2 linked regions of the Rhinolophus ferrumequinum genome follow. The protein of the gene in region 1 purifies or fractionates together with the protein of each later gene. This does not show direct contact. Links are inferred from orthologs where the notes say so. Each region holds a gene or a part of one and is shown on either strand. Other genes may lie near its edges.

Region 1 (3,913 bases):
GAAAATATATGGAGGTAGAGCCCCCAGAATGAGAGTATGGCTCCTTGCTCAACACTCAGTCTTCCCTCTCCTCCTCCCCCTTCCTCCTTATTTTGAGCTATTTAACAAAGCAAACTCATTTAATGGAATGAACATGTTAAGTTAGAAGCAAGATAAAGAACCTCGCAGATTTAGAACATTCCAGAACTACTTATCTCCAACATTCTGAAAACGATCTGTCCTTCCTGTCTTCAGATCCAATAAACATACTGAACAACTACCATGTGTCAGGTATTGTGCAAGGATGACACTGAGATTCAGACAGTAAGTTCTGAATTGGCCAGGGTTTTTTGTTGTTGTTTTTGTTTTTATAAAAAGACAAGTAAATGGCAGAGCAAGGTTCCATACTCCAGTCTTTTAATTTCAAACCGAATGTTCCGTAAACTACTTTATTGCGTGTATGTACTTACCACTCAAATGGACAAGACCAATAGTGTCGAGAAGGATTTATGTCAGAAACCAAAAGAATCATGAAAATCGTAATGCTGAGACCAAATTTCACCACCAAATATATCATAAATTGGAAAGTACAGATAAGTAGCATCTGCCTTTAAATGTGTTATCTAAAGTTTTATAGTGGGACAGACGATGTCTGCATGTCTGTCTTCTAAATGTATTCTGAAAATAAGGGTAGAATCAGAAATTTTTTCCAGTACTCACCAGATTGTGGAATCTTGGATCATTTTCTTTGTTTGCTCATTTTCCTGGATCTGATCCCAATCCTATTTCTATTATTTGCTTTTGGAAGGAAAGGGCCTAGTTTCCAGGACTAGTGATCTTTCACTGTGAGCGGGAGGATCAGGAAGAGACCAGAACTCCCACACGACAGAGCACTGGCCTGAGAATCCCACAGCACCTCAGGCTCCACCTTTCTACTGGAGCAAACTTGTGAGAAGACAAAAGTGAATGGAAGGTTCCCACTGAAGAGAGAAACTTCTTTAAATCCAGAGAATCAGACTTGTGTAGATAACTTGCTTTATCCTGGGTGATATCTCCTAGTGTGAATGAGGCAGAAAGCGAGGGGATCACCCAGAGGGAATTGCTTGTCCTCCTGTTCTTTAACGTGGAGGGGTTGTGATCATTTTGACCTTCATTCACCCTCCCCCACCTTCCTAGAGACCCTGGGCCTGAAAGGCACTTTGAAACAGCTGGAAAAGAGGCTCTGCCACGGTGGCTGGAGTCCTGACACTGTTTCAACAAAGACCTTTTGACAATAAGACTGAGCATTATCAGTTTTTCTTGCTTTTTAATTTTATCTGTCTGCAGGAATTCCTGAAGCACACGTGATGTGATATTCGGCAGAGATGAGGAAGACTAATTTGTATCTTGGCTCCTCCCCAAAAGTTTGCTCCATAGAGGAGCAGAGTGATGGCACACAGACAGGCCCCCTAAGTGTAGATAAGAAACACAGTGCTCACTAACTCTACAAGCAGATCGCATTTTGAATATGATCATATAGATGAACACACTGTATTTCCTTTGAGGTATACGAATTCAAGGCATTTTATTTTTATTATAATTATCATTCTATTTTCCCATATTCCTGCTTCCCTAATTCTTCATCTACTACATCACACCTCAAAAGCCCAGAAATAATATATGTTTTTTTAGGTAATTTTATTTGCTGCTTTATTTTTATCATCAAGGGAACCTTTACTGACACATTAACTTGCAGCCCAAATGTATATTATCATGACTCTAAAGCAGATGTTCTTCAGCTTTCATGAGATTCTCAAACGAATAGTGATCTCCCAAAAAGTCAACAATGGCTTTTCTTTTTTGGGGGCTGGGAAGGTCTATTTTCTTTGTGTGTGTGGTTTTTCAAAATTTTTTAATTACAGTTGACATACAATATTATAATACATTAGTCTCAGGTGTACAACATAGTGATTCAACATTTATATAACTTACAAAGTGATCTTACAGTAAGTCTAGTACCCATCTGATACAATACATAGTTATTACAATATTATTGACTATATTCCCTACGCTGTACTTTACGTCCCTGTGACTTTTATAACTGGCAATTTGTACATCTTAATCCCTTCACCTTTTTTACCCATCACCCCAATCCTCCTTTCCATCTGACAACCCCCACAAAGTTCTCTGTATCTATGAGTTTATTTCTGTTTTGTTTGTTCGTTTATTTTGTTTTTCAGATTCCACATATAAGTGAAATTATATGGTATTTGTCTTTCTCTGTCTGACTCAGAAATAACATGTCTTAAATTAGATATTCTCTATGCTCTAGATTTTCTCTTCCTGGGATTACCAATCAACAACAATTTCCCCAGTCCAGAAGAGGGAAAAGCCAAGAACACCCAAAGGACACCCCACTCTAAATGCGGGTTTGCCTCTGATCCATCTGTCTCCTTTCTCCTACCTGATAAGAGTCCAGAAGACACCGCGTGGGCTGCTGTCCCGGCTGCTTTCAAACACCTTGTACCCACTGATGTCAGTCACGCTGTATTTCCAAGGATCAGTGCCCCTCTTTCCAACTCATCCAGCTGAGCTTTCCTTCTAAGAGGGGACTTCTGGTACATTAACAATCTTTTGGCACTTCCATAAGTGAGGAGATCAATTCTGTTTTCTGGCCTCTCCTTCAGCCTATTCTAGCCCACTGCCCTCTGGCAGGGAGAAGGTTCCCCAGCTGAGGAGAACAGAAGGAAGACAGTCTGCAAAAGATTTCAGGAACATACATACATACACACACACACACACACACACACACACACACACACAGGCACGCGTGCATGGGCACACACAGTTTTCGTTCTCTGATAATGAGTGCCCTACGCAGGCAGGCAGAGACAAATGGGCGGAGCTTTCACAATCAGGAAAAACAACGCAGCTGCTATTTACCTCAGTACTGTCATACAGGGTGTGTTACTGTAAAGATTCTAAACTTAAATGTAATCCCAGGTAAACAAAAACAAATGCCTGGTAAGATGAAAAAGACACCTCTGGGAACACTGCACAGCCACGAGCAAGTAGCAGACTCCCCCTGAGCAGTGGGTGAGGGCTTCAGAGCCCGGCAGCCTGTGAGCTGGAGAAAGTGGCTTCAGCACTGACCTGGTGCTTAACAGAGTCAGGCTTTGAAGTTCTAGTTATGGTTTGGTAGGTAATTCATCAGGTTACCTGGAGCCTATCACCTGACCATGCCATTCCTTCTCTTCCTAGTTTAGGGACCAGGATACCTGTTCGTTTCCTGAGGACAGTGAAAAACAGCAGAGAACAGCAGGAAATGAGTCATACCAGAAAAGCAGCAGGCCATGTGGCAAGTCCCCTCAACCAGTTATTCCACCTCACCATTCTCAAATTCTGAAGGCTCCCTTGGACCTTCATCTCCCTACCTGGATCGTGGCAGACCCAGAAACTCACAAGTTTTTGTTTCTATCTCTACCCTGCCTATAATTTCCTAGGGGTTAGTGATAAGAGGAGGAGCTTTGGAGTTGGGCTTCTATTTGAATCTCACTTCTACCATTCATCATGACTGTAAGTAATTCTAACTTTCTGAACCTCTGTTTTTCCATCTGTAATGTAGAGGCTGGAATATCTACCTTCCAAGACTGTTGAAAGTCATATGGGATAATTTATGTAAAACACCTAGTACAGTGCCAGGACAATTCCAGACAATCAATGTATATCACCAGTCTCTCTCTTCCTCCCTCCCTTCTTCAGCTGTCTCCCAGGTTGGGAAGTAGTCACATAGCTGGACCAGATAGGTATGGCTGAATTAAGCTTTAATTAGTTTATAATGAGAAAATGGAAAGCAAGAAAGGTAGGAAGGCAGAACCATTTGAAAGCAGAGACATCAAAAGAAGAAAACTGGCTGAGGGTGACAGAGAATACAGAAGGAGAAAGAAAAAAGCTT
Region 2 (3,913 bases), on another chromosome or scaffold:
AATAGGCCAAGTCCAGGGCATCACATCTGTGTATCCCATCCACTGCCCCACCCTTGGGGAAAGGGCCCAGCTGGCCCAATGTGGCACCTGCCTCCCCAGGAAAGATGGGTGTAAGGGAGCCAGCATCCCCAGTGGCTGCTCAGCCAGACTGGGGTGAGCCCTCAGCTGGGCCAGCACAGCCTCCGACTACGCCCACACGCTCCCACACCAAATTCCCACTCTCCAGGACTAGCTGAATGTGTGGTCCAGAACTACAGCTTGGAAAAGCCTGGATCACAGACCAGAGCACAAAGCTCCTCCCTGCCCTATGATGGGGACACTGGTGCTCAGGGGGGTGGTGAGCATGGCCATACAGCCACTAGCGGGGCCACCAGACCGCCCACCATTCCATGCCCTGCCATGAGCCCTGAAGGGTGGTACCAACACCAGCGGTGGACCACCTGGTCCCCCTTTGGAGTATGTTCTGTGGCCTGGGCAAAGTCACCCACTCAAAGTTGGCCCAACCACAGTGGCTGTGACCTGAGAGAGATGGGGAGAAGCCCCGCCTCAGAGAGCACTGTTGCATGCCTGGATCCAGCCATGCCTGAAGCTGTAGGAGCCCACTACAGGCTCCCCAATTTCATGAGCTCCAAGATCCCTTTTGGGCAAATGTGAACTGTTTCCTTCACTTGCAGCCAGTGCCTCAGGAAGACAGAAATTACAGTATCACTGAGATCTCAGCAGACAGACATTGTCGCCCCCAGGCATTCAGGTCTCAGCAGACAGATGCAGAAACAAGAATACAGCTGGGGCCTCTGCCAGGGGAGGAGGCTACCGGGCGAAGCAGTGTGGCCAGACGAGCCTCCCACAGGCCAGTCTGCACCCCAGCCCTTCTCCCCAACATGGTGTCTGTGGACCACCAAGCTGGTGGTGAGAGTTGTGAAGTCCAGGGGGACCAGAGACCCACAGAGGTGACAGGAAGCAGCGAGACGGCTGACCCCGCAGCCGCTCTCCTCAGCCCTCTCTGCCCAGCTCTCTAGGCCCTGGGGCTGGTTGCCAACCCAAGCGCCTCTACTGCCAGCATCAGCCCCCTTTCTGCAGACAGACCTGAAGTTCGCCTGGCAGTATCCACACCCCAGTCCCTCCCCAGCAGCACTCTGACGGGAAACTAAACGGCTGCTTCTCCCTTTCCTCAGAAGTTTCAGTCAGAAACTGGGGCGCCCCTTCTGCTCAGGAACCCAGAACCCTGGCACTCGTCTGGCCAGCTCCTTGTCTGGACCCACACCTGAGTGACGCCCCTTCTTGGAAGGACCCAGGCCAACGCAGGTCCTTCCTAAGCCACACTCATGGCTGAAACCTCTGTGCCACCCAAGGGAGGGTGGGAAGGAGGTTCCTGAGTAGCAGCACTTGCTGTGACTTTGCCACTAACCCTGGCAAGTTGACCTTAGCTAGGTCACATATCCCCATGAAGTTCCGAGAAAGTAAAGGTGCAGTGGGGTACTGGTGGGGGAGTAAGTGAGTATTGAAGACAGGGGGAGCAGAAGAAAGACTTGGGAAAGGAGGTGGTACTTCCTGTGCCGGTGGGTGGCCCCAGGGTGTGTTCTGAGGGGGTCAAAGTGACTCTGGAATGGGGAAGCCCAGGATTGGCAATCTGGGGCAGGACAGGCCCGGGAAGTGCGGGGGTTCTCCCCGGGTGAGGATCCCAGGGAGCATGGTCAGGGGACACAGGACAGGAGGAGGTCCCGGACAAGTCAGAGCCAGGCTCCAGGCCTCACCGACGTGGGTCACCAGAGGTAGCGTGCAACCTGGGGAGTTGGGAGTGAGTTCCTGGAGTCAGGCTAAGGGGCCACCCAAGCAGTGAGACTGGGCCTTCCCAGGGTGAAGTCTCAAATAGGGGATCAGGGGCTGGGGTGGCACGCTTAAGGTGAGGATCCCCAAGGGAAGGGGCGGGATCTAGACCTCTGGGTGGGAGGGTTTCGCTGTCCTGGACAGTATCGGGGTCAGAGGTCGCAGGCCTAGGAAGAGGGTCCGGCCGCTGGGGTCAAGGGTCAGGGGTCGGAGCCGCGGTCACCTTGAGCAACACGAAGAACTCGAAGAGACGGCGGAAAGCGGGCGGGAAGAGCCGCGAGTAGGTCACAGCCATCTTGAAGAAGAGAGCGTGGAAGAGCCGGTCGCGCACGTTGATGAGTGGGTTGGGGTTGAGGTTGGGGGTGCGGGGCCCGCGTGCGGGGGCCGGGCCGCCGCCACCGCCACCACCGTTGGGCCCAGGCCCCGGGGCCCCGGGCGCTGCGTGCTCCGACATGCCGCCCAGCGTCGCGCTCTAATGGCCCGCGGGTCCCCAAGGGCGCCTCCCGGCCGCCATCAGCCGCCCTCGCCGCCGCCGCGATACTCACGGCCGCCAGGCCGCCGCCGCCATCTTCCGCCTCCGCAGCCTGCTGACGCCAGCGAGTCGCTGCGCCGGCAAGAGCGGTCCCCCTGCGCCGGTGGGGAACGCTGGGATGCCGGCGGCCGGAGGGAGGCGGCTCCCGCCCCCTAGCCTGGCCGCGCCTGGGGGCGGGACCGTGTGTGGTGGTCCAGCTCTTTTGCATATTGCCCCCCACAATCCTCCGCGGCTGCGAGGGCGCGCTTCGGGCAGTTAAGTTAGTCAACATCTGAGCGTTTTACGTGATCAAAGACACTTAAGTAAGCGCGACGGTAGGAGATGGTTCTTGTCGTGGTACTCTAGAAAGCCACACCGAATGGAAAAGTCGCTCTAACTATGAAATAATATTATTTATGGCCTTTAAATATCTCGTGAAAGACTTCCGGCAGACGTATCCCTTTTGTAAGCCACTGCGGGCCCCCACGCAGTACCCTGTGATGCCAGGAGACCCTTGGTGCCCCATAGGATCCATTGCCCAAATCGGAGGGACCCCTTAGACCCAATAGGGCGTCGACGTGCCTCGCCTCTTCCCTCATTGCGGAGCCGGGCGCTTGGGCAGACCTCTAGCGAGGTGCCAGTCCCCGAGCCAGCAGCAGCGCCGGCTGTTGACCGGTAGTTAGTAGAGCATGCGCTTGCGTGAGAGGGGAGTGTGGTTTGCCGAGCCGCGTTTCGCCTCATTCTCAGTCTCTCCTCACCGAGCCACAGGAAACCACCACAACGCTGATTTCTTCCAATGAAATCTTTGTTCCTAACCACCATTCCTACTTTTCCTACTTTTCCTCTGTTCAATTAACACTCTTCCCGTTTATTCTCCCGGCTTCTCTCGAATTGTAACTTGAGTGCCATCCCCAAGTAAACCCAGTTTTGCTGGTAAAATAACGATTTCATTTCTAAGGTTTGACATGGCTTTTTCCTTCTGTGAGCCAGGTTGATCAGACGGATCACTTCTTGTCTCCTGCTCCCAGACTCCTGTCCCTGCCGCATAGGACGCATCTGCCACATGCCACCCACCAGATCTTGGCCCATGGAGGGCGACAGTGGACAGGACTTTGCGAAGCAACCAAGTGGCCCTGAAAAGTGCTCGGGACCTGAGGTAGTTCTCAGATCCAGAGTCATGCCCTCCTCTTGGCTGCCCCAGGCTGGGACGTGTGCCTGCCGCACCTACTACATGCCAGGTGCTTCCACTACACTCTTCAAATCAAGGCTGGGGTTGGCCACGTGGAAGCATGGAAGGGCAGGAGGAGGAGGAGACAGGAGGCATGGGGCGAGGAGCCTGAGCGGAAACGCTGGGGAAGGACAATGGACACCCAGGCCTGCTGCAAATGGGTTCAGGGAAACAAGCTTACAGCGCCCAGGGCCCATGCGGCGGGTGTTAGGGACACAGTGGTGGCCACACAGGCTGGGTCTCTGCCCTCACAGAACTTGGGGACCAGTATGGAAACAGGCAAACAGACAAGGGGGTGTCGGGTCTAGTTCCTGACGGTGAGCGTCGCACCTTGAGGGGCACAGACT

The links.
Region 2: the proteins of STYK1 (region 1) and TMEM259 purify together in Homo sapiens (affinity purification with mass spectrometry; 3 studies listed by BioGRID and IntAct, with this or other methods). This does not show direct contact. The link is inferred for Rhinolophus ferrumequinum from reciprocal best matches to the Homo sapiens genes STYK1 and TMEM259.

What each region holds. Positions count from the first base shown.
Region 1 is NC_046293.1:26,268,310-26,272,222, forward strand, and holds the start of STYK1 (tyrosine-protein kinase STYK1), read right to left. Parts: upstream 2,765-3,913; 5' UTR 2,423-2,764; intron 1,035-2,422; exon of another isoform or gene 700-1,034; intron 1-699. UniProt on the Homo sapiens protein: Probable tyrosine protein-kinase, which has strong transforming capabilities on a variety of cell lines. When overexpressed, it can also induce tumor cell invasion as well as metastasis in distant organs.
Region 2 is NC_046301.1:61,945,809-61,949,721, reverse strand, and holds the start of TMEM259 (membralin), read right to left. Parts: upstream 2,406-3,913; 5' UTR 2,282-2,405; coding exon 2,051-2,281; intron 1-2,050. UniProt on the Homo sapiens protein: May have a role in the ERAD pathway required for clearance of misfolded proteins in the endoplasmic reticulum (ER). Promotes survival of motor neurons, probably by protecting against ER stress.